Linked DNA regions of Anolis sagrei. The protein of the gene in region 3 purifies or fractionates together with the protein of the main gene of each other region. This does not show direct contact. Links are inferred from orthologs where the notes say so. Each region holds a gene or a part of one and is shown on either strand. Other genes may lie near its edges.

Region 1 (10,048 bases), on a different chromosome or scaffold from region 3:
AAAGGCATTCGACACAGTGAATCGCAGCGCTCTCTGGACCATCCTCCAAAAAATCGGGTGCCGAAGCAAATTTGTGAACATCCTGCGGCTCCTCCACGATGACATGATGGCAACAGTCTTGGACAGCAATGGCTCCCAAAGTGACCCATTTAAGGTGGAATCAGGTGTCAAACAGGGATGTGTTATTGCCCCAACTTTATTCTCCATCTTCATCGCCATGATACTACACCTTGTTGATGGGAAGCTTCCCACCGGAGTGGAAATCATCTATCGGACAGACGGCAAGCTATTTAACCTCAGCAGACTGAAAGCCAAAACCAAGGTCACAACAACATCTGTTATAGAACTCCAGTATGCTGATGACAATGTCGTCTGTGCGCATACAGAAGAAGATCTACAAGCCACTCTCAACACCTTTGCAGAAGCATACACAAAGCTTGGCCTGTCACTGAACATCGAGAAAACCAAAGTGCTGTTCCAGCAGTCACCAGCCGCCCCCTCTCCAATGCCAGAGATACAGCTTAATGGTGTAACATTAGAAAATGTCGACCATTTCCGCTACCTTGGCAGCCACCTCTCCACCAAAGTCAACATCGACGCCGAAATACAACACCGCCTGAGCTCTGCAAGTGCAGCATTTTCCCGAATGAAGCAGAGAGTGTTTGAGGACCGGGACATCCGTAGGGATACTAAGGTGCTTGTCTATAAAGCTATTGTCCTCCCAACCCTGCTATATGCCTGTGAGACGTGGACTGTCTACAGACGTCACATGCAGCTCCTGGAACAATTCCATCAGCGCTGCCTCCGGAAAATCCTGCAAATCTCCTGGGAAGACAAGCGGACAAACGTCAGCGTGCTGGAGGAAGCAAAGACCACCAGCATTGAAGCAATGGTCCTCCAACATCAACTCCGCTGGACAGGCCACGTTGTCCGGATGCCTGACCACCGTCTCCCAAAGCAGTTGCTCTACTCCGAACTCAAGAACGGAAAACGGAATGTTGGTGGACAGGAAAAGAGATTTAAAGATGGGCTCAAAGCCAACCTTAAAAACTCTGGCATAGACACTGAGAACTGGGAGGCCCTGGCCCTTGAGCGCTCCAGCTGGAGGTCAGCTGTGACCAGCAGTGCTGCAGAATTCGAGGAGGCACGAGTGGAGGGTGAAAGAGAGAAACGTGCCAGGAGGAAGGCGCGTCAAGCCAACCCCGACCGGGACCGCCTTCCACCTGGAAACCAATGCCCTCACTGCGGAAGAAGATGCAGAGCAAGAATAGGGCTCCACAGCCACATGCGGACCCACAAGGAAACCCATGATGGAAGACCATCTTACTCGTCCAACGAGGGATCGCCTAAATACTCTCCCATAAAATAACTTGTTTTATATCATGCGCTCAACAGACAAAAATGAAGTAGACTTGGATAAAAAATAGCTTATTTGGTATACTCACAACCTTCATGTGTTCAGCATACACACGTACAAAACTTATCAATCCACCTTCAGATATGCTTGAGATAATTCTATGTGCCACCTGGCCAGGACATCTCTTACAGCAAAATAGCAAACAAGTGTGTGATCTGAGGTCTGAAGTAGTCTGTAATCAACTATAGTATGCATGGGCAAACTTTCTAACTTGGGGACCTTGTGGCAGGCTAGAGTGGGGTGGGCAGGGCAGGAAGGAGGGGGCTTGGAGGCAGAAAGTGAAGGAAAGACAGGAAACATTTGGATCCCAAAAGGGTTGGTACTGGTCAGGATGAGATGGTGGATGGGCGAGAAAAAGTGTATCTGGCGGGAACGAGAGACAGGACCTTCTCTGTGGTGGCCCCCTGGCTGTGGAACTCCCTGCCCCCTTCACATCGGCCCCCTTCCTCCTAACCTTTCAAAAAAAAAAAAAACTGAAAACTTGGCTCTTCAAGCAAGCTTTTGGAGCTTCAGCTTAATTAGATAAACTTGAATTGGAAAACGACCTAGGAATGGCTAAGACGACGGAACAAATGAGGACGGAGCATGATGACATAGTTTAAACATTTTTATTGTTCAATGTTTTGATGTTTTTAGATACATTGTAATGTGATGTTTTAATTTTATTGATGTATGTATTTTATATATGACAGCGAATTGTGCCGATTGTTCGCCGCCCTGAGTCGCCCTTGGGTTGATATGGGTGGGGTAAAAATGATGTAAATAAAATAAATATCTATTAGACCCCGTATTGCCTATTCATGATATAGAATCACAGAAGCCTAGAATTGGAAGAGACCGCCAAGGGCCATCCAGTCTAACCCCCTGCCCATGCCGGAAGACACATCAAAGAACTCCCAATAGACTTATGCGGAAAAGCTTCCAGAGAAGAAGATTCCACCACACTCTGAGGCAGCCTATGCCACTCTCCAGGAAGTTCTTCCTAATCTTTTCAGGCGAATTTCTTTCCCTGCCATTTGAACCCTTTGCTCCCTTGTGTCCTGGTCTCTAGACAGCAACAGAAAATTAGTTTTCCCCTCCTCCTCTTCCTTAATGGTTCGCAGATTATCTGTTGCTCTCTACCTTCTCCCAGCTAAACATCCCCCAGAAAGAAAGGAGAAAGGAAAAAGAGAAAAAAAAAGGAGGAAGAGAAGGATGGAAGGAAGGATGGGTGGAAGGGAATGGAGGGAGAGAGGAGGTGGAGAGGAGTAAGGAAAGACAAATGGGAATGAAGGAAAGCAGGAAGAAGAAAGAGGGAGAGAGGGAAGGAGGGAGGAAAGAGAGAAGGAAGGACAAAAGGGTGGAAAGAAGGAAAGGAGGGAGGAAAGGGAAGGAAGGACGAAAGGGTGGAAGGGAATGGAGGGAGAAAGAGGGAGGGAAGGCAGAGAGGAAGAAAGGAGAAGGAAGGGAGGGAGGGAGGGAGGGAGGAAAGAAGGAAAGAAGGAAAGAGAAGGAAGGAATGACAAAAGGGTGGAAGGGAATGGAAAGAGAAAGAGGAAAGGGAGAGAGGGAGGAAAGAGAAGACAAAAAGGAAGGAAAGAGAAAGGGTGGAAGTGAATGAAGGATGGAAAGAGGAAGAGGGATGTAAGGGAGGGCAGGAAGGAGAGAAGGAAAGAAGGATAGGATGGTGAGAGAGAGGAAGCCCTGGGAAGAGTCCAAGGGGCTGCTTCTGCTAACCAGGGCTAGGTTTGCCCATTCCTGTGCTATAGTGATCATTTGGTCTGCAGCCCCTTTTGTAACTTCTCGTGAACTATAGAGTAAAAAAAGGAATCTGCATACCAGAACATATATACAGGAAGCAATAAGCAACAGGATCATAGCTAAACATTGCTCGAGAAGACTTGAAGAAGGTTGTAATTTCTAACAAAGCCATGGATGGTTGAATCTGTGGGTGTAAAATCTGTGGATATAGAAGATTGGCTGCATTTTCCAGCTCAAGTTCCTCTGCATTGTTTCCATCCTCCGTCACTTTCTTTGCAATCATGATGATTCTTTAAAAAAAACACACAGTTAAGGAGCCCCCGGTGGCACAGTGGGTAAACCACTGAGCTGTTGAACTTGCTAACCGAAAGGTTGCAGGTTCAAATCCAAGGAGTGGCATGAGTTTCCACTGTTAGCCCCAGCTGCCAACTTAGCAGTTCAAAAACATGCAAATGTGAGTAGATCAATAGGTACCGTTCTAGCGGAAAGGTAATGGCGCTCCATGCAGTCATGCCAACCACATGATCTTGGAGGTGTCTACAGACAACACCGGCTCTTTGGCTTAGAAATGGAGATGAGCACACCACCCTACCCCAAGAGTCGGACATGACGAGACTTAATGTCAGGGGAAAACCTTTACTTTTACCTTTAAGAAGTAGAGAGAAGGCAAAGGGGGTCTGGGAAAACATAACAACAATTTGCTCAAAAGGAACTCTTTGGGATGACTTCCGAGTACTTCTGCACTGTAGAATTAATTAATTGCTGGACTGAGGCGCAGCTAGTTAGTAGCCAGCTGCATTAAATCACTACTGACCATTAAATCACTACTGCAACTGTCTTCCGGGCTGCATAGGTCAACAGCAAACTAGACTATTAATGGTCAGGAGCTTACTCTAACCTGGGCTGGTTTCAAAATCATGACCAAAGCCAGCCCCGGTTGGAGTAAGCCCCTGACTATTAAGAGTCTAGTTTGCTGTTGACCTATGCAGCCTGAAAGACAGTTGCATCTGTCAAGTACGAAATTTAGGTCCGCTTTATGCAGGGAGGCTAATTTAACTAATTTACGACACCATAAAACCTTCCAGCAGTGTGAAGAAGAATGAGGAAGTACTCCATCAAAGGACTCGGTGTCACAAGCGGGTGCTGAAGCGGCAGCTCCCTCTGTGGCCGGAATCGAGCATACCCTCATGAAGCCGGAAAAGCTGGAATGTTAAGTGCCTCTGTGTCTGTCTATATATGTTGGCATTGAATGTTTGCATTGGTATCTGCCCTGAGTCCCCTGCAGGGTGAGAAGGGCGGAATATAAATACTTTAAATAAATAAATAAATAAAGCACCTTGATGCCACTTTGCCACAGCGCAGCACTAATTCTGGCCTTCTCTGCCAAAGAGTGTTTGCTGGTGCCTCACCAAACAACTCCCAGGACTTCAGTGGGTGTAGATCAGGCATGGTCAAACTTGGGCCTTCTAGGTATTTTGGACTTCAACTCCCACCATTCCTAACAACGTCAGGCCTCTTCCTCCCCCCCCCCCCATGCCTGGCTGTTATGAATGGTGGGAGTTGCAGTCCAAAATACCTGGAAGGCCCAAGTTTGACCATGCATGGCTACGGGGAATGGTGGGAGTCTCAGTCCAAAATACCGGGAAGGCCCAAGTTAGCCCATGCTTGGCTGTTGGGAATGGTGGGAGTTGCAGTCCAAAATACCTGGAAGGCCCAAGTTGTCCCATGCCTGGCTGTTAGGAATGGTGGGAGTTGCAGTCCAAAACACCTGGAAGGCCCAAGTTGGCCCATGCCTGGTTGTTGGGAATGGTGGGAGTTGCAGTCCAAAACACCTGGAAAGCCCAAGTTGGCCCATGCCTGGCTGTTAGGAATGGTGGGAGTTGCAGTCCAAAACACCTGGAAGGCCCAAGTTGGCCCATGCCTGGCTGTTGGGAATGGTGGGAGTTGCAGTCCAAAACACCTGGAAGGCCCAAGTTGGCCCATGCTTGGCTGTTGGGAACGGTGGGAGTTGCAGTCCAAAACACCTGGAAGGCCCAAGTTGGCTTGGCTGTTGGGAACGGTGGGAGTTGCAGTCCAAAACACCTGGAAGGCCCAAGTTGGCCCATGCTTGGCTGTTGGGAACGGTGGGAGTTGCAGTTCAAAACACCTGGAAGGCCCAAGTTGGCCCATGCCTGGCTGTTAGGAATGGTGGGAGTTGCAGTCCAACTGGAGAAAGAGAAACTGGAGCTGGGACAGTCCCGTAGCAAGAGGGGAGGAGGACACTTTGGGTTGCTGAAGGAAGCGAGGCGAAAAGCCCGCCCCCGCCATTCCTTTCCATTCATTCCAGTTGAGAGAGACTTTTCCCGCCCAAAGCGTCGCTTTCGTTTCCTCCGCGACGGCGAAGGCGGAGCCGCCGAGCAGCGCATGAGCGGCGCTGGTTTCTGCCCTTCTGCGGGCGGGAAGCCGAGAGCCAAGGCCCTTTTTCGAAACAGGCATGTCTTGGCTGCCTAGGCTTTGCCCCGCTCCTTAGGCCGAGCCATCGAGGGCTGTATGCCGGGAAGCAAGCAGCGGGGGAAGGGAAGAAAGTAGTCCTTGTCTGCCCTTTGGTGCTTCCCTGTGTGCTGCGCTCTGCTTGTGGGAGGCAGGCAGGCAGGCAGGCATGCCGCTGAGCAAAGCCCAGTACGGAGAGGTGGCCCTCTTCCTGGCCCAGGTGGCCCCCACCAGGCAGAGCCTGAAGCAGCTGAAGGCCCGCTTCCCCAGGTGAGTGGGCCGCGGTGGTGGCTCCGCCCCTTTCTGCTCCCCGCCCCCTTTCTCGCTCTCCCTCCTTCCTTCCAGGAAGAGGCCCAGACAGCTGCTTTCGAGGGTGGAGGGGGCCTGCTTTGGTGTGTCTGGCTATCACGAAGTGAGTGCAATTCAAGGCCTAGGATGCAGAAGAGACGGCGAATAGGACAAGGAAAGGGGTGCATCTGCACAGTAGAATCCATGCAGTTGGACTCCACTTTGAACTGCCTGGGATTTGTAGTTTGGTGGGGCACAAGCATTCTTCGGCAAGGATCTTGTAAAACTACAACTTCAAGGGAGGAGGGAGGGGAGCACAGTGGTATTTATTTTATTTATCGTGTCATCAGCAACCAGACCATTGTGTTACATTTCTAACAGAAAAAAACAAACAAACAGATTAAAAAAAAACAAAACAAAAAAACCCCAAAAACACCAAATTTTGCAAACTTGGTAGTTGGTTAAATGTCCTTTGACCAGTATCTGGCCACTTGGAGTGCCTCTGGTGTTGCTGCAAGAAGGTCCTCCATCATGCACGTGGCAGGGCTCAGGTTGCATTACAGCAGGTGGTCAGTGGTTTGCTCTTCTCCACACTTGCATGTCATGGATTCAACTTTGTAGCCCCATTTCTTGAGATTGGCTCTGCATCTCGTGATGCCAGAGCGTAGTATGTTCAGCGCCTTCCAAGTCGCCCAATCCTCTGTGTGCCCAGGGGGGAGTCTCTCATCTGGTATCACCCACGGATTGAGGTGCTGGGTTTGGGCCTGCCACTTTTGGACTCTCGCTTGCTGAGGTGTTCCAGCGTGTGTCTCTGTAGATCTAAGAAAACTATGTCTTGATTTAAGTCGTTGACGTGCTGGCTGATACCCAAACAAGAGATGAGCTGGAGATGTCACTGCCTTGGTCCTTTCACTATTGGCTGCTACTTCCCGGCGGATGTCAGGTGGTGCAATACCGGCTAAGCAGTGCAATTTCTCCAGTGGTGTAGGGCGCAGACACCCTGTGGTAATGCGGCATGTCTCATTAAGAGTCACATCCACTGTGTGTTCCACACTGGGCATGTGTACTCAGCAGCAGAGTAGCATAGCGCAAGGGCAAATGTCTTCACTGTGTATGGTTGTGATCCCCAGTTTGTGCTAGTCAGCTTTCGTATGTTTTGTTTCTAGCGCCCACTTTTTGCTTAATGTTCAGACAGTGCTTCTTGTGGTGAGAGATAGATAATACGTATAAGCATAAAAATAACCAGTAGATGCCAAAAGTTAAATTATGGTAGGCTGTATTGAATACTATGTATCTGCTGTAAAATAAACAATGCATAACAAAGAAACCCCCACAACTTCAAGGATCTTGTAAAACTACAACTTCCACAGGCAGCTAAAGCTATTATATAACATATAATAAATCTAGAATAAATATAATGTAAAGTATGGGGAGCCCCCGGTGGCGCAGTGGGTTAAAACGCTGAGCTGCTGAGCTTGTAGACCGAAAGGTCATAGGTTCGAATCCAGGGAGCAGCGTGAGCTTCCGCTATCAGCCCCAGTTTCTGCGAACCTAGCAGTTCGAAAACATGCAAATGTGAGTAGATCAATAGGTACTGCTCCAGCAGGAAGGTAATGGCACTCCATGCAGTCATGCCGACCACATGACCTTGGAGATGTCTACGGACAACCTTTACCTAATATAAAGTATAATACTAATAGTATAATATACTTGTAGTGTACTTGTAGTGTACTTATAATATACTTGTAGTATATAATATACTACCGGTAATAGTATGATAGCTGGGTCTGGAAGCTCCGATCATTACTGAGATGCCACATCACTCCTTCGAGAGCGCTGTTTGCGCAAGAGAGACTCAGCTAATGTAAGCCAGGCTGGAGACAGATAATATAGAAGGAATGTAAGAGTTCTTTAATGGTGAAACCCTAACCTTGAACTGTACCATAAGCCTAAACCCTTACCCTAAACCAGAGATCCTCAAACTAAGGCCCGAGGGCCGGATACGGCCCTCCAAAGTCATTTACGCGGCCCTTGCTCAGGGTCAACCTAAGTCTGAAACGACTTGAAAGCACACAACAACAACAATCCTATATCATGAGCCAAAAGCAGGCCACACTTCCCATACGGCCCTCCAAGGTCATTTACCCAGCCCTCAGTCAGGGTCAACCTAAATCTGAAATGATTTGAAAGCACACAACAACAACAATCCTATCTCATCAGCCAAAAGCAGGCCCACACTTCCTACTGAAATACTAATAAGTTTATATTTGTTAAAATTGTTCTTCATTTTAATTATTGTATTGTTTTTAATTGTTACTGTACTACAAATAAGATATTTGCAGTGTGCATAGGAATTAGTTCTTTTTTCCCCCCAAATTATAATCTGGCCCTCCAACAGTTTGAGGGACTGTGACCTGGCCCTCTGTTTAAAAAGTTTGAGGACCCCTGGTATAGACAATACACAGACAGACAGAACAGAACAGAACAGAAGGAGGTGGTTTGTTTCAGCTGTTTTTGGTGCCACAGAAGGTTGGGCTTGAGTCCAGGGGGTGCTATTGCTTTATCCTGATTGACGAAGAGCCGTCAGGACTTCCTCCTTCCTTTTGGTCACCCAGCATTTTCTGATCTTCTTTCTTTATGGTGTCGTACAACACCTCCTCCACTTTTAGTGGTACCTAATTTCTCTAATCACAGCTAAAGCTGTTTTTGACTTGCTTAGGTAAACAATGAGCTATGCTAACAGTTGGCAGCTTACGCCAACTCGGGGCTTCAAACTTGCAACCTTTTGGTGATCTATCTTATAATTGCTGATGATTTACCAGCTGTGCTAAACCTCCAGCCCAGGATGTTGTAAAACTACAGCTTCCATAGGCAGCTAAAGCTAATAGTATAATACGAATAGTATAATATACTGGTAGTGTGTTATACTACTGTAACAGTCTGATAGCTGGGTCCGAAAGCTCCGAGCATTACAGAGATGCCGCATCGCTCCTTCATAGAATCATATAGCTGGAAGAGACCTCGTGGGCCATCCAGTCCAACCCCATGCCAAGAAGCAGGAAAATTGCCTTCGAAGTACCCCCAACAGATGGTCATCAAGCCTCTGTTTAAAAGCTTCCAAAGAAAAAGCCTCTACCACACTCCGGGGCAGAGAGTTCCACTGCTGAACAGCTCTCACAGTTAGGAAGTTCTTCCTAATGTTCAGATGGAATCTTCTTTCTTGTAGTTTGAAGCCATTGTTCTGCGTCCTAGTCTCCAGGGCAGCAGAAAACAAGCTTGCTCCCTCCTCCCCATGACTTCCTCTCACATATTTATACATGGCTACCATGTCTCCTCTCAGCCTTCTCTTCTTCAGGCTAACATGCCCTCTCTTTAAGCCACTCCTCATAGGGCTTGTTCTCCAGACCCTTGATCATTTTCGTTGCCCTCCTCTGGACACATTCCAGCTTGTCAATATCTCTCTTCATTTGTGGTGCTCAGAATTGGACACAATATTCCAAGTGTGGTCTATCCAAGGCAGAATAGAGGGGTAGTGTGACCTCCCTCGATCTAGACACTATGCTCCTATTGATACAGGCCAAAATCCCATTGGCTTTTTTTGCTGCTGCGTCACATTGTTGGCTCATGTTTAACTTGCTGTCCACAAGGACCCCAAGATCTTTTTCACACGTACTGTTCTCGAGCCATGCGTCTCCATTCTGTTTCTTTGCATTTCATTTTTCTGCCTAAATGGAGTATCTTGCATTGTCTTGTAAAACTACAACTTCAAGGATCTTGTAAAACTACAACTTCCATAGCCAGGAAAGCTAATAGTATAATACTAATAGTATAATATACTGGTAGTGTGTTAATACTACCGGTAATAGTATGATAGCTGGGTCTGGAAGCTCCGAGCATTATGGAGATGCCACATAGCTCCTAAGCGAGACTACTGTAATACAATATAATAATTTATAATAATAGTATTGTAATATAATAATACTAATATATTAAATATAATACTACTGATAATATATAATATATAATTATATATATATTTATTGCATATTTGTATATTTTAAGTTGTAATGTTTATGATTGTGAGCCACTTTGAGAGAGAACATGGGATATAAATAAATATAAATAAAGCGGTGT
Region 2 (10,042 bases), on a different chromosome or scaffold from region 3:
GCAAGTTTCTAAAAATTTAAATTGTAATAAAGTTCATATTTTACAGAGTAAGGTTAAATTTGTTTTTAGACACTTGACAGAAAAGCATGTTTCAAATGTAAGAGATGATCAGGTATGAGTAAATTTGGAAATGAGTAATTATTTTGAGGAGCAACTGGAAAATAGTGGATTAACTGATTAAATGTGGATTAACTGAAATGCAGGTAGCAATAAAACTTCTTAACTACCTATTCTGTGTGTCTCATTTTTCAACACTGTAGGTCATGCAGAGATTCTCATTTATCTAGTACCTTTTCTATGCCTCAAATTCAAACTGTTTACTTATATCTAAATTAGCAAACCCACAAGTTGTTTGCAGCAGTAGTGATTTACCTTATGAAGGATATAATGAATGTAATCTTGACTCAGTCATTCAGCTTTTTGTATCACTTGAGTGACCAGCCTTACTGATGCAGGGCTGATGAAGGTAAAATCAAATTATACCTCAGTTGTGCTATTTGGCCTTCTCAAAAGAGGAGGGGGATATAAATGTGACTAAGAATAATTCAATTAGGTTTCTATAGTTCCATATATTACTAAAGTGATCATATTTTTTGCTTGGTTGGCTTCATTAGAAAGCAATATAACTATCGTATATGGTGAGTGAGCGTGGGACAAAGCAAAAGAATATTGGAGATGGATACAAAATTGGCAACAAGAGATATTTAAAATCAGATTACAATTAGATCCAACATTATTTTTACTGGGGCTTCCAAACAAATGAACAAAAACCATGAAGTAGCGCATATTACAGAACCAGCAGAAATGAACAAGTTATCTTGCTCAATTAAGGAGAAGTCAGCTGATGTCTTTTTAAAAGAGTGGGAACATTTCTATTATTCATAAAGAAAAAGGGGAGTTTTGAAGATTGAAAAAATAAGGTAGAATGAAGAAAGTGTCTAAAATGATAGATTGACAGGATTGTAACTTTTTTTTTCATTGTGTGGGAAGTGGGAAGTCTATTTTAATATTTTATTATTAGTTTTGTTATTATTACTTTGTAATGGGGCAGGTGGGCAAAATTAGTTTAAATTTATATAGCTCTATAAATGCTGAAAAAATAAAATAAACTGATAGATTAAAAGAAGACAGCAATATGCTGTAACTCAAAGCTTGAATGCTCAAGTACATGATTCTATCCCTGACATTTTCCTAAAGCTTTCATTTTGTCAATTTGGAGAAAAGAGCTCATGTGCCCCACAGAAGAACTTCAAAAAGCTAAAGTATGAAAATAGTTTGAAATACACGTGTGTTGCACTCCAGGCATGGAAACACCTATGACCACCGCGCCACACAAAAGTCCAGGAATATAAGCAAACAGTTTATTGTAAAACACATAAAAGCATATAAAAAGCAGGAATAAGAAAGGAAGATATATAATCCCAAAAGGTTTAGCAACAGGTGATAACCAAACAATAATCCAAATGTCTCATACAGTTCCAGAGGTGACAAAGTCCAGGAACAGCCAGTAATCACAGGTACAGTGTGAAGTCCACAAGCAAGAAGGTATAGCTAGTAAAAACTTGCACAGGAGTACATGAACAGGAACATAGAAAACTTCCAGGATATATTAAATCCAAAACCAAGAGTTAACTTGAACCAGGGAAGTCAGGCTTAGCTTCTCACTCTAACGCAGTGTTGCCTGAACTGCCCTTAAGGTAAACAACTTGTTTAATAGACACCCATAAAAGTGTCACATCCCCTGTAAATTTTCTCTACAACTTTCCCATGTAATCTCTCTGAACGACACAATCTATTTTTGGCTCTGATTTGTAAACAAAAACTTTTGTTGATCCCCATAGCTACAGGTGGTTTCTCCTGGAAACCCTCCTTATCATTCAGCTCTTCACTCAGTTCCTTATCTACTGATGCTACTTCTGGCTCTCCTGACTGGCTTTGTGGCCCTGCACTTTCCGAGCCAGTTTCCTCACAAAGAGAACCATCATTTCCCAGACTTGAGGGCCTATCACTTTGTGCCACAAGAAAGCTAACAATCCCCTCTAAATCATCAGTCCCTGGCTGATCTACAACAATGGGTTCTTTTAAAAAAATGCAACCCTATACACAACTGCTATTAACTTATTTAGGCCTAGACATGTATTACTGTGGGTTTCCTTATTTACCCCACTTGGACTTTCCTGCCCATCCTTTGTTGATTTCGGTTATATTTCAGATTAATATCCTTGCAGCAAGCTCCTGGTACCTTGAAAAACATCATTACATACTGATGCCACTCTTTAAAATGTCATTATATGTTCATTTATCTAGGAAGCTTGTCCTAGCTAGTATGAACATATGATATTATATAGTGAATAACTTACACAATGACTGAGCTGACTTTGCTCTCATTTGATCTCCTTTCTTTCTCCTATTAAAATCCCCATTTCCGTGCCCATCTGTTAATATTTTAGGAAAAAACCATTCTTGGGATCTTTTACAACAAAAGCATATTTCATTTATGTTCAACAAAGTAGATTATTTTTACTCTAACAAGCAACCTCCACAGTCTGACCCTACAAGTCCAGCTCTTTGGCTACTTTCACCCATCCTAATCGTTTAGCTTTTAGACCCCTCTCTATATACTCTGGACCCCAATATATACTAGCCAAGTTGTGTGGTAAATGCTGGCAAGGTGTGACGGAATCACATTAATTCAGAGAGAGAGAGAGAGAGAAGGAGATGTATAAAATTATATTTAATATATAATAAGTTAAACATCTAAAATAGACTGGCTTCCCAATCCACACATCCTATTGTGATATGAGAATTAAAATTCTGGTCTCCAGAGTCATAGTCCACCTCTAGCCACTGCTCTACGCTGTCACTCTATTTTATTTCACAGAGAAATTATGCATATTCTTTTTATTGCCTGTCCTAAATAGTAGGTATTTCCTGAGACATGAGGCCTTGATACAAAATGTGACAATAGGTGGCTGTATGTTTAGAGCCATGTCATTCTGATTTTCAGTGGCCACTGCTGTTAATTAAAAATCCTGAGGCAAGAGCTGGTGTGTGCAAATTGTAGAGACTTCGGAAGAGCTATCTGATCAAATGCTATTTAATATTTTGTGACAGAACTCTGTTACAGTTTTATTATACCTTGAAATAAAGGTGGAAGGAAACAAAAGTGTAGAAATTAAGGTCTGAAAAACCACGTGCTTAAGAAATCAGCTTAGCCAACAGACCAGCTGTGAATACTAAACCTTGACATAATCCCAGAAAAAAATAGAATTACTCTTGTTCTTAGTTGTGTTTAGGTTTACTAAGTGGATTATAAGCAGCTGATTACCACAGATTTATTTCTCTTAAATTCAGTTTCCAGGAAGAATGGTTTGTTCAGCTAATCCAACTGGAATCAATCAAATTCAATTACCTTTCCCCATACAGAGCTGGTAATATCGCTGGATAATAATCTTTTTTTTATTTCTGAATGCTTCATCCCAATAAAGTCATTGACTTTTATGCTGAAAGGCTTTTTGGAAAGTCATGATGCAGAACAAAATAATGTTATCGCAAAATTCTTGTCTTGTGTCTATTACTTTGTCACACAGAAGGGACAAATTCTACAAAGCAATATCTTTGTTACTTATACCAACTCTTGCAAAGGTGATAGACAGCCTGTACAAATGGTTCAAGAAGGGTGGTCCTTTCAGTAGGAACCTTTAAGTTGGACCATATTATTGGCTGCAATCCCCATTTGGTGAAACAATATACAGTTATGACAACATCAGATTGCAGTGGTGATATCATTTCACACCTGGCTACAGGGAAATGCTTCTGTAGTTTTCCAATGTCAGTGCTGCAAAAAAAATCTTGAAAATTAAAGATAAGGAAAAAGGGGGCCAGGTTGCCCTCGCCCATAAAAAAGACCATCATAGTTAAAGATTTTTGTTATATCTTAGTTAACAAAAATAATTAACAATGAAGATCTTTTTATGGAGGAAGGCAACCTGGCCACATTTTTCCTTGTCTTTAATTGGCAAGCTTTTTTTTTTTTTTTGGCAGCATTGACATTGGAAAACTACAGAAGCATTTCCCTGTAGCCAGATATGAAATGATAATATCTGCACTGCGATCTGATGTTGTCATAATTTTATATTGTTCAGCCAAATGGGGATTGCAGCCAAAAATATGGTCCAACTTAAAGGTTCCTACTGAAAGCAAAATGAAGCTACTCCATAATTTGCACAACCCTCTTTATGGATCAGGTTGTGGCGCAGCTGGTTGGGAGTCAGCTACATTAAAATCACTACTGGTCATGAGGTCAAGACCAGCCCGGGTAGAAGTAAGCTCCTGACCATTTGTCTAGCTTGCTGTTGACCTTTGCAGACTGAAAGACATTTGCATCTTTCAAGTAGGAAGTTTAGGTGCCGCTTATGCGGGGAGGGTAGTTTAACTAATTTACGATGCCATAAAAAATCTCCAGCAGCATGCAAATGAATAAGGAAGTACTCCATCGGTGTCACAAGTAGACAGTGAAGCGACAACTCCCCTGATAGCCGGAATTCGAAGCATACCCTGATGGAGCTGGAAAGTTAAATAGCCTCTGTGCGTCTGTCACCCCTTCGGGGTCAGAAGGGCGGGGTAGAAGTAAACCAAATAATAAATATGTTGTGTGTCTATGGCATTGAATGTTTGCCATGTATATGTGCATTGCGATCCGCCCTGAGTCCCTGCGGGGTGAAAAGGGCAGGAGCCCCCGGTGGCGCAGTGGGTTAAAGAGCTGAGCTGCTGAGCTTGTTGACTGAAAGGTCACAGGTTCAAACCCGGGAGCGGCGTGAGCTTCCGCTATTAGCCCCAGCTCCTGCCAACCTAGCAGTTTGAAAACATGCAAATGTGAGTAGATGAATAGATACCACTCTGGCAGGAAGGTAACAGTGCTCCATGCAGTCATGCTGGCCACATGACCTTGGAGGTGTCTATGGACAACGCTAGCTCTTCGGCTTAGAAATGGAGATGAGCACCACACCCCAGAGTTGGACACGACTGGACTTCCATGTCAGGGGAAACCTTTACCTACTGTAAATAAATAAATATGGGTTGTTATAGGTTTTTCGGGCTATGTGGCCATGTTCTAGAAGCATCCTCTCCTGACGTTTCGCCTGCATCTATGGCAAGCATCTTCAGATAAAATAAAATAAAAATGCTACACATTTGAGGCATAACAGGCCAGGAGGATTAAGTCAAGGGTTTTAATCTGCCTTTTTTGGTCAACCAGAAGCTAGCAGTTCGAAAGCAGCAATGTAGATCAATTGGAGGAGAGGTAAAAGGCGCCCGTGAAGACAGCACCATTCCCCCACCGTCTCCAATTCTTGTCCTCCGGCTTTGGGGAGGCCCCTTTAAGAAGAACGTCCACAGCCACCCCTCTTCTCTCCGCTTCCTGTTTCCTCTGGTTTGGCGCGAAAAAGTTGCCGGCGTAACATTCGAAAGGGGCGGGGCACCAGGCGCGGAGGCTTCTGATTGGGCGCGGCGCGGGTTGGTGGCGCGAAATCCCTTCCATTCTCCTGGTATTGGCGTGATGGACTTGGCGGCTGCAGGAGAGGCTGGTGCGGCGGCGGGCAACGCGGCGCTCAAGCAGATCCGCGATGAGGTGGCCGAGAAGTGCCAGAAGCTCTTCCAGGACTTCCTCGAGGAGTGAGTGGGCCCTCCCTGGTTTGGGGATCCTGGGAGCTGCAGTCCTCCAGTGCCTCTACCCCAGGTTTGGGCCAACTTGGGCCTTCCAGGTGTTTTGGACTTCCACTCCCACCATTCCTAACAGCCTCAGGCCCTTTCCTTTCCCCCCTCAGCCGCTTAAGCGGCTGAGGGGGGAAAGGAAGGGGCCTGAGGCTGTTAGGAATGGTGGGAGTGGAAGTCCAAAACACCTGGAAGGCCCAAGTTTGCCCAGGCCTGGGGTAGAGGCACCCCTAGTCTATGCTAGTTTGCTAGCATTCATTAAGCATTAGAGCTGCCTCAGTTGTCTGAATGGATCAGTTTCCCCCATTAATGCTTTGTTGTTTTTTCTTCTATACTTGCATTACATCTTGAAAATGTTTTTGCAAAGCTCTTCCCTGAAACACTGCCTTTTTCAGGTTCCAGGACAGTGATGGCGGAGTTAAATACTTGAGAGATGCCGAGGAGTTGATCCGCCCAGAGAGAAACACATTAATTGTAAGCTTTCAGGACCTGGAGCAGGCTAATCAGCAGCTTGCGACCACCATCCAGGAGGAGTTCTACAGGTGAGACTGTCCCAACTTCTTTATTGACCTGCTTTTTGTGTTATCACTAACTTTATCCAAGGTGTTAAGGAACTTGAAGTTAGTAATAGGTTTGTATCTGTGGGAGATACGTTACTGGACTTCTCATGGGAAAAAGCAAACACTACTGAAATGAACTACTTCTGTTGGATGTTGCCATAGAGTCATGCTGGAGGACAGAGGCCCCTTCCACACAGCTGAATAAAATCACACATTTTCCGCTTTGAACAGGAATATATGGCAGTGTAGACTCAGATAACCCAATTCAAAGCAGATATTGTGGGACTTTCTGGCTTGATATATATATATGGCTGTATGGAAGGGCCACAAGTATCAAGTGAGACTGTGGCAAAAAAAAAAAAAAAACAGAATCACCTAAAGCATTTCCTATAGAGGACATATTTTGGCAATGAAAAAAATCCCTTTTAATATTTTTTGCTTCCTTAAAGCAACTTTATGAGATTTTTTTTATTCTGATAAGTGAAATGTCAACTAATCAGGATTTTAAAAAAACAACAAAAAAACTTTGATTTCAGCACATTTTGTTCCAAAAACATGATGTAAAAATAAGATATAAACTATTTATTTATTTATCTCGTTATTTACTTGCAGTATTTATATTCTGCCCTTCTCACCCCGCAGGGGACTCTGGGCGGATATACATGGCAAACATTCAATGCCATAGACACACAACATATATAGACAGACACACAGAGGCTATATAACATTCCAGCTTTTTTCATGAGGGTATTCTGGCCACCACGGGAGCTGTTGCTTCAGGGTCCATTTGTGACACTGATGAAGTACTTCCTCATTCTTTGCATGCTTTGCATGGAGTCGTAAATTAGCCTCCCGCATAAGCGGTACCTAAATTTCCTACTTGACAGATGCAACTGTATTTCAGGCTGCAAAGGTTGACAGCAACCTACAAAATTTGTTGGAAGCTCACTCCGACTCGGGCTGGCTTCAGACTCATGACCTTTTGGTCAGTAGTGATCTTAATGCAGCTGACTCCCAGCCAGCTGTGCCACAGTCCCACCACAGTTCTTTTGAAGTCAAATACATTTGTTGGCTTGCTCATTTAAACTTTGCTAATAAGGTACACTCCCATGCACTTTGATGCCTTTTGAAGAAATTCTTAAGTCTAAAGCCAGAAAAGTTTGTATCACTAAAATCTTGCTTTCGTTTCAGAGTCTATCCTTACTTATGTCGAGCTGTAAGGACATTTGCCAGAGACCACGGAAATGTCCCTCCCAACAAGGACTTCTATGTGGCTTTTCAAGACCTGCCTTCTAGGCACAAGTAAGCATCTCTGAAGATAGTGAGCATGAAGTGTGGTTTCTATTGGGAAGATAAAAGTATTCAGCTTGGCAAGAAGATCCATTGTGAATGCTGGATCACAGTTCAAGGCCTCTGAACATATAGGGCACCAGAGCAGATTGTCCTATTGCTTTAGCTATGTGTGAGGTTTTTTTGTATAGCCTCTCTCTTGTTTATTAATTTTCATGAGTGCTGAGGGTTTTTTTGTTTGTTTTTTGTACATCTTATCTCTTATGTATCCTCCTGTATATTAGCTCCTCTTTTATGGTGGCATGGTTAATTCAAAAGGAGTGATGCCACCTCACGAAACTTTGGGGGCATAATTTCTTTTTTTATGGACAATGCTGGCTCTTCTGCTTAGAAATGGAGATGAGTACCACCCCCCAGATTTGGACTCGACTAGACTTAACGTCAAGGGGAAACTTTTACCTTTATCTTTATATATTCTTTGCCTAGTATTTTAGGGTTAGGTTAAGATCATATAACATTTTAAACTGAAAATATGTGACGACCATATAAGGTTCATAAATGTTTTCTCGTTACTGTGTATGTGAGTGAGAATATAAATGAAAGTCAACAACTCATGTTCTTTGGAACATTGGAACCATCACAGAGCAAAATTTTGTAGGTGTCATCAGGGGCATCTACACTGTAAAATTAGTACAATTTGACACCACTGTAACTGCCACAGTGCAATGCAATGGAACCATGGGAGTTGTAGTTTCCTGAGACAATCTTTGGCAGAGAAAAAAATCATATAAAACTACAACTCTCAGGACTCTATAGCACTGAGTCAGGGCAGTTCAAGTGGTGTCATACTGCATTATTTATTTCTTTTCTTTTTTTGTAGATGCACTTACAAATAATATTATCCACCAATGTAAGCACAGAAGATACCTTCTCATTCATAGCTAAAGAAAAATTATACTTGCCAAACATAACTGTCTGTAGGAAGCAATAGGTTGTAGTGGAGCTTGTAATCACTATGTGATATATGTGTCTGGCTTGTGGAGGAAAACATTCAAGATGGCTTTATTCTCTCAACAGAATCCGAGAAATGACATCGGCTCGCATTGGCTCACTGATGTGTATTAGCGGGCAGGTGGTTCGCACCCACCCTGTCCACCCGGAGCTGGTAAGTGGGACCTTCCTGTGCCTGGATTGCCAAACAGTGATCAAAGATGTGGAGCAACAGTTCAAGTACACACAGCCCAACATCTGCAGAAACCCCGTCTGTGCCAATAGGAAGCGATTCCTTCTAGACACCAACAAGTCACGATTCGTTGACTTTCAAAAGGTAATTGAATAACAATTCATTTTCACCTAGTTTTTCTGAAGTTGACTTACTATTGTGGAAGTGTGATGTAGCATCTGGGTTGGCTTTTCAGGAAGCAATGGAGTAGATATAATGGCAAGCCTTTGTTTGGTGTGATAGTAACTAGTTTTTAAGAATGCCAAGACTTCGGTACATGTCGCTCTTTGTCTCCTCTTATTCTTTGTAAGAAGCAAATTACAGGTTGCTATTTTATTTTACCACCATAGAAGCCATGTTCTGTGCTTGCCATGCACATCACGATTCGAATTCAGGGTTGAAAAACAGTTTTCAGTTCAGTGCAAATACCAAGCTGAGTTTTCTCATTTTGAGAAAAAAACAGACAATTAGAATCATGTTAAACAGCAAAAACCGCTAAAGACTATCTTGTAGGCTTCCTGATCTAACAAACCCAGATTCAAATTAAAATCCCCATTCAACTATGAAAGTTACTGATTGGTGGTTTTGATTTTCTTTTTTTGCAAGTGGCGAAACATTCATTTAAAAATAAAATACGTGTTGATAGCTTTGGTAACGTACTGCCATAACAACAGTCTGCTTTAGACTTGAAAATGTTTTGTTTGCTTAATTCAAGTAAATTAGATTGAGACAGAGTGAGAGTTTTTCTGCTATTAAGAGCAATTTTCTGTGGTGAACATGGTTTAAATTGATCTATTTTTACAGCACCATGTGAAAGACTGTGCACACAGTGTGCCATGTAAACATAGACAGTATTACTCACAGGACAGTGGGATCAATAGTTACCCAGAGAGATGTTGAGGCAACCTGGTGTTTTACCTGTAGGAATTAATCAATCTTTAAATGTAATCAATCTTTAAATGTACCTTACACAAATCATATATTCATGTATTTATAAGATCACAGATATAGAACATACATTTATCTACTTTTAAAGAAGAAAACTGCCAACAAAGAGCTATTTTTAGCACAAGTGATAGAGCACTATTATTTTTTTTCCACACAAGAAATCTTTACCTGACCCATTGAATATAGATATATAAAATACCAAAATTAAACATGTACTGATAATAAATCAGCATGTGTAAGGCATGCTAAACAGGTTGATTTTTTTAATGAAGTACAGCTGAAGCATTTTCTGCAAAGTCCAGTGTAAATA
Region 3 (10,239 bases):
AGTAAACATTCAATGTTGGGACATAAATAGATTATACACATACATAAACATTGAAAGCATTTATCTCGACATTAAAATCCACTGTTTAAAACCGTCTCAATCATCCACATCGAATCCGGTTGACATGGTAAGGTTTCCTATTGCTGCCTTATTGCATTGCCCCAAAGGCTTAGTCCCACAGCCAAGTTTTTACTATCTTTCTGAAGGACAGGAGGTAGGGGGCTGATCTAATCTCGCCGGGAAAGGAGTTCCATAGCCGAGGGGCAATCACTGAGAAGGCCCTCTTTCTCGTCCTTGCCAATTGCGACTGTGACAGTGGCAGGACAGAAAGCAGGGCCTCCCTGGAGGATCTTAATCTTTGTGATAGCTCGTATAGGGAGATGTGTTTGGACAGGTACATTGGGCCAGAGCTGTTTAGGGATTTATAGGCCAAAGCTAGCACCTTGAATTGTGCTCGGTAGCAAACTGGCAGCCAGTGAATCTGACACAACATGGGAGTTGTGTGCTCCCTGTATGCTGTCCCAGTTATTAATCTGGCTGCCTCTCATTGGACTATTTGAAACTTTCATACAGTCTTCAAGGGCAACTCCACATAAAGCGCATTGCAGTAGTTTATCCCAGATGTAATAAGAGCATGGACCACCATGATGATGTCTGACTTACCAAGGTACAGGTGCAACTGGTGCACAATTTTTAATTGTGCAAAAGCTCCCCTGGCCACTGCCAAAACCTGGGATGAGTCCAGGAGTCCCAAGCTGCACATCTGCACCTTCAAGGGAAGCGTAACCCCATCCAGCACAGGCTGTAACCATATACTCTGTTCAGCCTTGTGACTGACCAGGAGGATCTATGTCTGGTCTCGATTCAACTTCAATTTGCTCACCCTCATCAAGACTGTCACAGTGGCCAATCAGGACTTGGGCCACCTCCTTAGCATCTGGTGGAAGTGAGTAATACGAGTTGGACGTCATCTGTGTACAGATGGCACCGGACTCCAAAACTCTGGATGATCTCGCCCAACGGCTTCATGTAGATGTTAAACAGCATGGGGGATAATACCGAGCCCTGCGGGACACCACAGGACAATGGCTTCCCTCCAGGAAGGACCGGAGCCACTGCAGAACATTTCCCCCCTAGACCCATCCCTGCGAGGCAACTCAGAAAGATACCATGGTCTACTGTATCAAAGGGCAACCCCAGGAGAACCAACAGGGGCATACTCTCTGTCAAGCTCTCTACGGAGATCATCCTCTAAGGTGACCATGGCTGTCTCAGTTCCATGACCTGGTCTGAAGCCAGACTGCGATGAATCCAAATGGTCAATTTCATCCAAGAACAAAGACCTGATCTGTACCTTTCATTCTCAAATCCCTACACTAAGATGTGGGAGCAAAGGGCAGAAGGCAACAAATACCTCACTGAAGTATGACATGCCAAACAATTAATTCCTTTTCTCATCAATAGCCTTTTAGTTGATAGAGATGTCTAGAATCAGTCTTGAACTTATCCTAATTGAGGGTAGAATATGAGATTTAAGTAACTGGCAAAGTCACACCATCGTAGCAGATTAGAAGTAAATCACTGAATACTTGAACACAAGTTTAGAACAAGCTACTGATCTTATTAAACAGTCTTTAATCCTTCAGGGCTGAATCTCATGAAAATCTTCATGTTCTAACCCATTGAAATTAATGGGCTTAGACATGCTCAGTTTTCAGGCATCAAGGACTTTCCAATCTCATCTCTATATGAACATGTTTATCCCCCATATAATGAAGAATGATGGAAACTGCAGTTGAACAACCACTGGAAGGCCACATATTCCTCACCCTGATCTGCATCTAATCTAACATTCTAGGAGAGGTTTATCACAGTATAATGCATGCTCACAAGAAGAAACACAAGTGTAGCTTGTACAAACATTGGTTAGAAATTTTTAAAAGCCAGCATGACCTGTTCAGGGACATCTCATCTCATGATGAGGAGCAGATGTCATCAAAGGTGAAGCGGCAATATTTTCAAGTTGATTTGAATATGAAATTGGATGAAGCTCATCCTTCAAAGGTTTATGAGGCAATGCCTTGCTGCCTTTGATACCAGTCCACACTTCTGAATTGGAATCCACAATACAGGGATACCTGTGTGTGCTACTGCTGCATGTTCAGGAGAGCACAAACCAATTAAATTCAATGCTGGTCATGTTTAGAGCCCATCTGGAGTAGTGACTGGAGCTTTGGTCTACAACTCTGGAGATAGGTATTTGAATCCTCACTTTGCAGCTAGGTGACTTTCGGCATGTCATATTCTGTCATGCTCAGAGAAAGGCAAAGGTAACCTCCCTCTGAATAAATCTTACAGAGAAAACCCCATGATAGGGTTGCCTTACGGTTGCCATTAGCCAGAAAATACTTGAAGGCACACAACAATGTATTTCATTCTACAGCAACATGCTTTCTTTTCACAGACCACATTTCTTCTGAATCAAGTCTAAAGACCTTCCAAACAATCCTGAAATTCAACCAAATTTTATGTAGAATGCACAAACAATATATGCCCAACCAATTATTTAACATTAGGTTTATCAGTAAAGCAAGAATTGTGACATTCCTGTGCACCTGTAGCCCACAGCCACACTGCAGTTTAAAAGGTTGGCTTTAGTTTTGTATTTCTTTAAAAGGAAATCTGATTGCTTTTAAAAACAATCTGACCAACAGAACTGTAACCTTCTCATCCATCTCTGAAAATGAACTGTTGGCTCTCCCACAGAAGTGATGAACCTTCAGTTACAGGGCTGAAGGCCCATCCTGTTTAGATATCAGCCAGCATGCCAATGACTTAAATCAAGAAACAGCTTCCTAAGATCTAAAGATACTCACAGGAACACCTCAGCAAACTAGAGTCCAAAAGTGGTAGGCTAAAACCCAGAACCTCAAATCAGTGGCTGATACCAGATGAGAAACTCCCTCCTGGACACACAGAAGGCTGGGTGACAAGCTGTGCTCTGGCACCACAAGATGCAGAGCCAACCTTAAGAAACGGAGCTACAAAAAGTGGAGTCCACGGCATGCAAGAATGGAGAAGGTCCTCTACATGCACAACGGACGACCTTCTTACAGCGACAAAAGAGGCACTTAAGTGGTCAGCTTCTGGTTAAAGGAAATTTAACATAATGCCAAGTTTTTAACTTTGTGTTTTTTTATACATGATAACTGTAGTCTCAATTTGTTTCTGATATGATAAATAGTTGCAGGGCTCCTCCAACTAGTCAAAGGTTTCCCTCCATGACAGGTTGCACATCCCTTCAAAATCCCAGACACTGAAATCCAAAATTGTGGAATCAGCAGAGGAAGAAGCAAGTTCAATGTGATTACATGTGAAGTCTTGGAACTGGGTTGAGGCCTGGACATTGCCTATACGTATTGCAGAGGCTGGCTTTGACCTGGTTTGAGGATCTGCAGCTTCACAGCAGTGGGGGGAAACAGGTGTTTTTGTTTCCCAGCACCCCAAGACACATGTGGAGTGCCTGCCCCTTAAACGGTTTTCCCATGTGCTGCTTTGCATTAAGAGCTCCAGTTCGGAGTATCCCCAGCTTTGTTTATTCCTGTTTAGAGCCCTTAATGCACATTTCTGCGCATCTTTGAGGCATACATCATTTAAACACAACACTCTCAAGGTGCCTTGGAACTGCATTAAATGCTCAGTGTAGATGTGCCCCATGAGTGAACCGGGATTTTCACCCTTTCAGCCTCTTCTTACTGAATCCTACCCCAACTCAAACCACGATATCACACTAGCTCCTTCTGTTGTAGATATGGATAGTATCTACATCTATATGTATAAAAGTCAATGCATATATGCATGTTTGTTTATTTGTACCACAAAGGCTGTTGCTAGGTGAATTGTCCTCTGCGATGTCACTGAAATAACTGTTGCTAAGTGAAGGCGGCCTGTGTATGAGTGGAAAGGAGGGAAATAGAAAGAAAAAGAAGGGAAGGAAGAGAAAGGAAAGTGGGAAAGTATGAGATGAGGGGAGGAAAGAAAAAGAAGGGATGAAGAAGGGGAGCAATAGCCCCACTGACATTTAGGCAATGCAAGTATTTATATACAGTCATGCTGGCCACATGACCTATGGACAACACCGGCTTTTCGGCTTAGAAATGGAGATGAGCACTACCCCCCAGGGTCGGACACGACTAGATTTAATGTCAGGGGAAACCTTTACCCTTTACTTATATGAAACCAAATCTCCTTATGTGATCTTGCAGCTTCTGCCAAGCCAATGGTTCTGAAGCATTCACCTTCAGTCAGATCTCAGCTCCCAGAAGCCCCAGCCTGTTTGGCCAATTCTGGGAGCTGAAATCCAAAACATCTGGAAGTCCAGTTTGGGACATAGTGTGCCCAAGGGTGCTCAGTATACTGCCTTCACTGCCATGGCTTAATACTATGGAATCGTGGGAATTCAAGTTTTATAAGGTATATAATAACAATAATAATAGTAATAATTTGACAAAGAAAAAACATGTGGCTCACAAGTGGAACTTTGAAAAAGGAGATGGAGGGCCTGATTCTGGCAGTCCAAGAACAAGCCATTCGAACCAATGCCATCAAAGCCGGAATTGAAAAGTCGACAACAGAGCCCAAATGTAGACTCTGCAAGGAAGCAGATGAAACAACAGATCACATCCTCAGCTGCTGCAAGAAGATCGCACAGACAGACTACAAGCAGAGGCATAACACCATTGCTCAGGTGATTCCTTGGAACTTGTGCCACAAATACCATCTGCCTGTGACAAAGAACTGGTGGGATCACAAGCCGGAAAAAGTTACAGAGAATGAACACGTCAAACTCCTCTGGGACTTCCGAATTCAGACAGACAGTTTTGGAGCACAATACTCCTGACTTCACGATTGTGTTAAAAAACAAAGTGTCGATTGTTGATGTTGCAATCCCAGTGACAGCAGGATTGAAGAGAAACAACTGGAAAAGCTGAACGATATGAGGATTTAAAGATCAAACTGCAAAGACTCTGGCATAAGCCAGTCAAGGTGGTCCCAGTGGTGATCAGCACATTGAGTGCAGTGCCTAAAGACCTTGGCCTGCACTTAAACACAATCGGCACTGACAAAATTACCATCTTCCAGCTGCAGAAGGCCACCTTACTGGGACTTGCACGCATTATTTGCCGATACATCACACAGTCCTAGACACTTGGAAAGTGTCCGTGTGATCCAATTCAACAGCCAGCAGAGTGATCTTGTCTGCTGTGGACTCATCTTGTTGTGTTTCAAATAATAATAATAATTATTATTATTTATCTGCCTCAATAAATTCAAAAACAAATGAACATGAAAATACATAGATTAAAACACACACACTCACATATATCATTCTCATCCAAAATGTTGGGGCCTCACCAAAGCACAAACCCCGTGGTTTCATAGCACTGAGCCATAGAGGTTAAAGTGGAGTCCAACTGCGTTAATTCTACAGTATAGATGTACCCAGTCTGAGAACGCTCTTTCACCCATTCTGTGATATCTTTTATCCCTTGGCGAACGGAAACCGAGCGCCAGATGAACTGCTGGGAGCCCAAACTCCCCTGCTCCCTTTGCCTTTGGCAAGGCTATCGGGTTTCTCCTGTTAACAGAAGGGCCTGGCGATGACGTGGAACCCGCTGGCCCTCTAGTCCGCTTTCCATTGGCTGCCGCTTCTTCGGGCGCGCGGAAGGAGGCGGCAGAGCGCGCGCTGATTGGCGGTTGGGCGGCCGGAGACTGACTGGCGCGCGGAGAGGACAAGGAGGGAGGAGGGCGCAAGCGTTGATTGTTTAGGTTTAGCTCCCGCCAGGGACAAAACCCAGGCGGCGGATTGGTGGAGGGAAGAGTGGGCGTGGCCCCGCGGGAAGAGTAGGCGGATGAACTCAGGCGCGAAGCAAGCCGATTGGCGGAGGCGGTCGGAGTGCCTTGCGGGGATTGGCGGCGGGGTCTATCTGTCACTCAGCCGGTGGCGCGCGGAGTATGTGTGTGAGTGGTTGGCGGGGGCGAGGGCGGCAAGGCAGCGGTTGGAGCTCCGAGAAGGAAAGGAAGGAGCAAGGCGGCTGTGGGTGCTGCTGCTGCTGCGATGGCGCGGGTGTCGGTCCTGGGAGTGTCGCTGCTGGAGAACCCGAGCCCCTTCGGCCACCCGCTCCGCTTCCAGGTGCAGTTCGAGTGCGGAGAGGCGCTGCCCCACGGTGAGTGCCCCCAGCCCCGCCAACCGCCCTGCCCTCCCCCCCCCCTCTCTCCCCGCTAAGACTTTGCCAAACTGCCTCTTGCTGAGAAAACCACGAGCTCGGCACTCAGGCCCCGTCTACATTGACGATTTAAATTCAGTTTCGAACCAGTATGGAAGAAAGTGGTTACTCCTGGGTTCAGTTTGAGGCCCAGATGGTGACCACAGAGCACTGGAGCACATCAAGGGCTTTTTTTCGCGCTCTTTTTGTGGGAGTTTGTTGTTTGGCCGCTGCAGTTTGGAACTGCATTAAATGGTTAGTGTGGATGAGGCCTGCCTTGAGTGGTAGGATGAAGGCGCGTGCACACATCCAGAACCACCCTGCAGGCCCCAAAAGGCCTCCTACGAAGGTGGGGTGGCGTAGCATAGAGAAGTTTCTGCAAGGGGAAAGGCCCTGCTGCCACACTGCATTGTTATAGCACTATTATTAATTGCCATGGCATCTTATAGGATCCTGGGGTTTGTAGTCTAGTGAGGCCCAAGAGCTCTCTGGCTGAGAATTCCCAATGCCCCTCATTAAACTGCAAATCCCATGATTACATAGGATGCTGCCATTGCAGTTAAAGTGGAAGAATCTCCTTATCACTGTGTAGCGTGATAGGGCCCAAATACATCTTTTTTTCCTTGAGAAAATGCAATTGGCCACCTGCAAGGACATTGCCCAGGGGACACCTAGAGCTTTTATTTGTTATTTATTTATTTACGATATTTCTATCCCACCTTTCTCAAGCCCGAAGGCAACTCAAAATGGCTTACAAATTGGCAGCAATTTGATGCCATAACAATTCACAAGATACAATAAAAAGCATTTATTTTTCAAAAAATTTTATTTGAGAAGAGAAAATACAGTTATACAGACATATACTATACATTTCCCCCTCTTTTTACATTCACCCCATTAAAAACATAATAACCAATGTCTTCATATTAATCACATTTTCCTAATGATGTAGTTCAGGCCTGCACAACCAGGTTTTACAATCCTGTGGGTGGCTTCTTGCATGAGAAGTTGCAGCTGATAGGAGCTCATCCCGCTCCCCAGATTTGAACTGCCAACCTTGCGGTCAGCAGTCCTGTTGGCACACCATTGTGCCACCAGGGGCTTGGCCCAGAGACTGAACAGAAGGTGGCTCTTTAGTATAGCTCAGTGCCACATAAACTGTTGCTCCCAGCCCTAAATGGAGTCCCCTTTGCTCAATGCTGGAGTCACAAAAAATTGGCCATGGTAAGAGTTTTCTGAAAACCACCCATTTACAAAAATCTGTTAGCAACAACAAGCAGTGTTTACAGTGGACTCTGCAGAAAATGTCTCAGCTTGTACTCCACAAAAAAGGGAAATTAGCTTGTTTAGCAAACCCTGCAAATGTTGACTTGTTATCTGTAAATGTTTCATTTTTATACCTATTTTATACACCCATATGCCTGGGGTCACATAAACAAACAAGTGGAAAAGCACACAGGACATAGCACACAGGACATGGTAGTTGTAAGGATAAAAATGAAGGAGAGGACCATGTGCACCCATTTAGGGGAGAAAAAGTGAAAAGGAAGTAATCTGGAATCTACACCCATGAAGCCAGCCACTCTGTCCAAAGAAGGCTATAACTCTCTTAATGAGACACAAAGTGGCAGAATATGGTACCATTCCCTGGCACATTTGATGAGAAAATTGCTAATAATTCACACCCGATCAGCTGATGTGATTAACTGGTAGTTTCTGACTCAAAATGTGCCAGGGAATGGTATCATATTAATGATCACTGGCTACAGTTGTTTCATTCCTGGAAGCTCACCAGGGACTGGCATTGGTGTATAGGCCACCACGTTGACTAGTGTTGAGTAGAATACCTATACTCTGCCCTTGGCCATGCTGCATCTTTGCAGAGAACATGTTAAATGCCCTTCTCTCCTTATAAACAGCAGCTGTGTTCGCTGTTATTATAACAAGAGAGGTTTTGTTAACTGGTAAAAGTGGTGAATGTTGACCATATATAATAATAAAACTTTATTTCAAGACCACCTTCTCTCCTTGAAGGGACTCAGGGCAGTTTACACACACAGAAAAAAAGGCAAACATTCAGTGCCCAAAACAACACAAACACGTCAACAATGATCATTCTTTAAAATAGGAGGGACTATTGCAGTTTTTAATAGTACTTGGCTTCTCACTGTGCACATTTGGTTTCTTCAATTTTTGCTATTTCCGGAGGGGTAGGTGCATTAGCAATAAAAGTCATTTGGTACCTCAAATACTAACATCCTTATTATTGCATATGTTTTTCACCAACACTGGCCATTTCATGATATATATTATATGTGAGCCCTAATATACTTGCGCTTGGGGTAAGTTGTATTCAGTGGAATTGAAATGAAAATAAATCTGCCCATTTTCAATACGTGGATTTTCTTTTTAAAAATACTTATAGCGGCCTACATAATTTGAAAGGGTTTGAATTTGAATCTGGACAGAGAAATTGAAAATCAAATTCCTTCTGAACTTCTGTTCTCTAGCATACCCTATATAAAAAACTGGGCCAGCTTATCACTGGTCAGTGTGAGTATTGGACCTTAACTCTTATTTTAAAATAAGAACCCTTCTCCTCTCTCAGTGGTAAAGTGGCAAAAGGCATGAATTTAGTCCGACCTAAAAGCAGCAGCAACCCCCTCCACTCCCTCTTGACATGGTGCTGCTTCTGGCCTTTTTGGATGCCTGGACAAGGACATGCCAGTATGCCCCCCTGAAGTAGCATTGCTGCTTTCTCCCCCTCATGGAATGATCCCCACAAGTCATATTAAAATCCAGAATTCTGGGAGGTAGACTAGAATTCATTTAGGGCTTTTGACTATTTTGGTCTTTTATCTGGTCTTGGAAGCTGGGGCAGACTGAGCAGGGATAGTAGGGGGGGATCATTATTATTATCAGTGTTGTAGTAGAAAGATCTGGGCTGACCCCTTTCAGGATAGTCCAGGTCCTTTTCCTAAATATTCATAAATGGTGAGCAATTTATAAATGGTGCCATGTTTAGGGTGCCTTGGTACTGTTGTCTATGCTCTAAAACAAAAATACAACATGTCTGTAAACATTCTTGAAAACAAACACATATTGCAAAGTTGAGATTCCATTCAGGTTGCTACGTTTCTTTGTTACTTTTCGTCATTCTTCCTTTTCTCCAGTGTCCCTTTTGACTCCCCTTGTTTTTGGTGTTAAAACATGATACGCTTCATTTTGCCTACTTGTGACCCCTGATGTTTAGATATACTGTACATACATTCTTGTAACTAGCAGTATCACATGTGAGAAGCATTAACCTTCACTGCTACACCGGTGGTCTATTATAGCAGATTGCACACAGTGTTTCCTGACTTTTGCCTAATGAGATGATCCATAAAGGCTGAAGGCAGGCATAATATTTAAAGAGAAACTGCAGCAGATTCTTTACCCCTGTTGAGATCCGGGCTTCCTCCCGCTTTGTAATTTGCATGATAGATGTATACTTGTTCTAGCTGAACTCAGGGTTAACTGTCAGTCTTGTTCCTCCTCCATGCTTCAGGCAACTTGCCTGGAGTTCTTTTTTTAAAAAAATCTGAGAGCTTCACATGCATATTTATTTGATGTTTGTCCACATTTAAAAAATGGAAACACTCCTTTAAAGGCTCCAAAAGTGCTCTAAGGATTAGGAAAAGAGTCTTGGTGATGTGATGGACATGGGTCAATTAGAGTTTGTCTCGCTTTTGCAGTAAACTCTCAGACAGCTCTCCTTGTGTCCAACTTCCCTAAAGAAAATGGGTTTCACAAAATTGATTGTTAATTAACTCAGCTACTCTATGATAGTTGCATCTGTTGAAGGGGACTTTCCTCTCCCTGCCCAGGCTTGGTGAAATGCAATTATGTCTACCAGAAGTTACAACGCATCGGAAATTAGAAGAGCTGACAGTTGCTTATTCTTACATCCTCGGCCTAGCTCTTGAACATT

Evidence for each region. The genes of interacting proteins can lie anywhere in the genome.
Region 1: the proteins of ASF1B (region 3) and CDIN1 purify together in Homo sapiens (affinity purification with mass spectrometry; 4 studies listed by BioGRID and IntAct, counting the BioPlex papers as one, with this or other methods). This does not show direct contact. The link is inferred for Anolis sagrei from reciprocal best matches to the Homo sapiens genes ASF1B and CDIN1.
Region 2: the proteins of ASF1B (region 3) and MCM6 purify together in Homo sapiens (affinity purification with mass spectrometry; 4 studies listed by BioGRID and IntAct, counting the BioPlex papers as one, with this or other methods). This does not show direct contact. The link is inferred for Anolis sagrei from reciprocal best matches to the Homo sapiens genes ASF1B and MCM6.

Annotation. Positions count from the first base shown.
Region 1 is NC_090021.1:293,734,855-293,744,902, reverse strand, and holds the start of CDIN1 (CDAN1-interacting nuclease 1), read left to right. Parts: upstream 1-5,519; 5' UTR 5,520-5,795; coding exon 5,796-5,896; intron 5,897-10,048. UniProt on the Homo sapiens protein: Plays a role in erythroid cell differentiation.
Region 2 is NC_090021.1:213,783,984-213,794,025, forward strand, and holds the start of MCM6 (DNA replication licensing factor MCM6), read left to right. Parts: upstream 1-5,513; 5' UTR 5,514-5,557; coding exon 5,558-5,673; intron 5,674-6,107; coding exon 6,108-6,254; intron 6,255-7,463; coding exon 7,464-7,574; intron 7,575-8,639; coding exon 8,640-8,889; intron 8,890-10,042. UniProt on the Homo sapiens protein: Acts as a component of the MCM2-7 complex (MCM complex) which is the replicative helicase essential for 'once per cell cycle' DNA replication initiation and elongation in eukaryotic cells.
Region 3 is NC_090022.1:112,853,000-112,863,238, reverse strand, and holds the start of ASF1B (histone chaperone ASF1B), read left to right. Parts: upstream 1-5,981; 5' UTR 5,982-6,118; coding exon 6,119-6,227; intron 6,228-10,239. UniProt on the Homo sapiens protein: Histone chaperone that facilitates histone deposition and histone exchange and removal during nucleosome assembly and disassembly. Cooperates with chromatin assembly factor 1 (CAF-1) to promote replication-dependent chromatin assembly.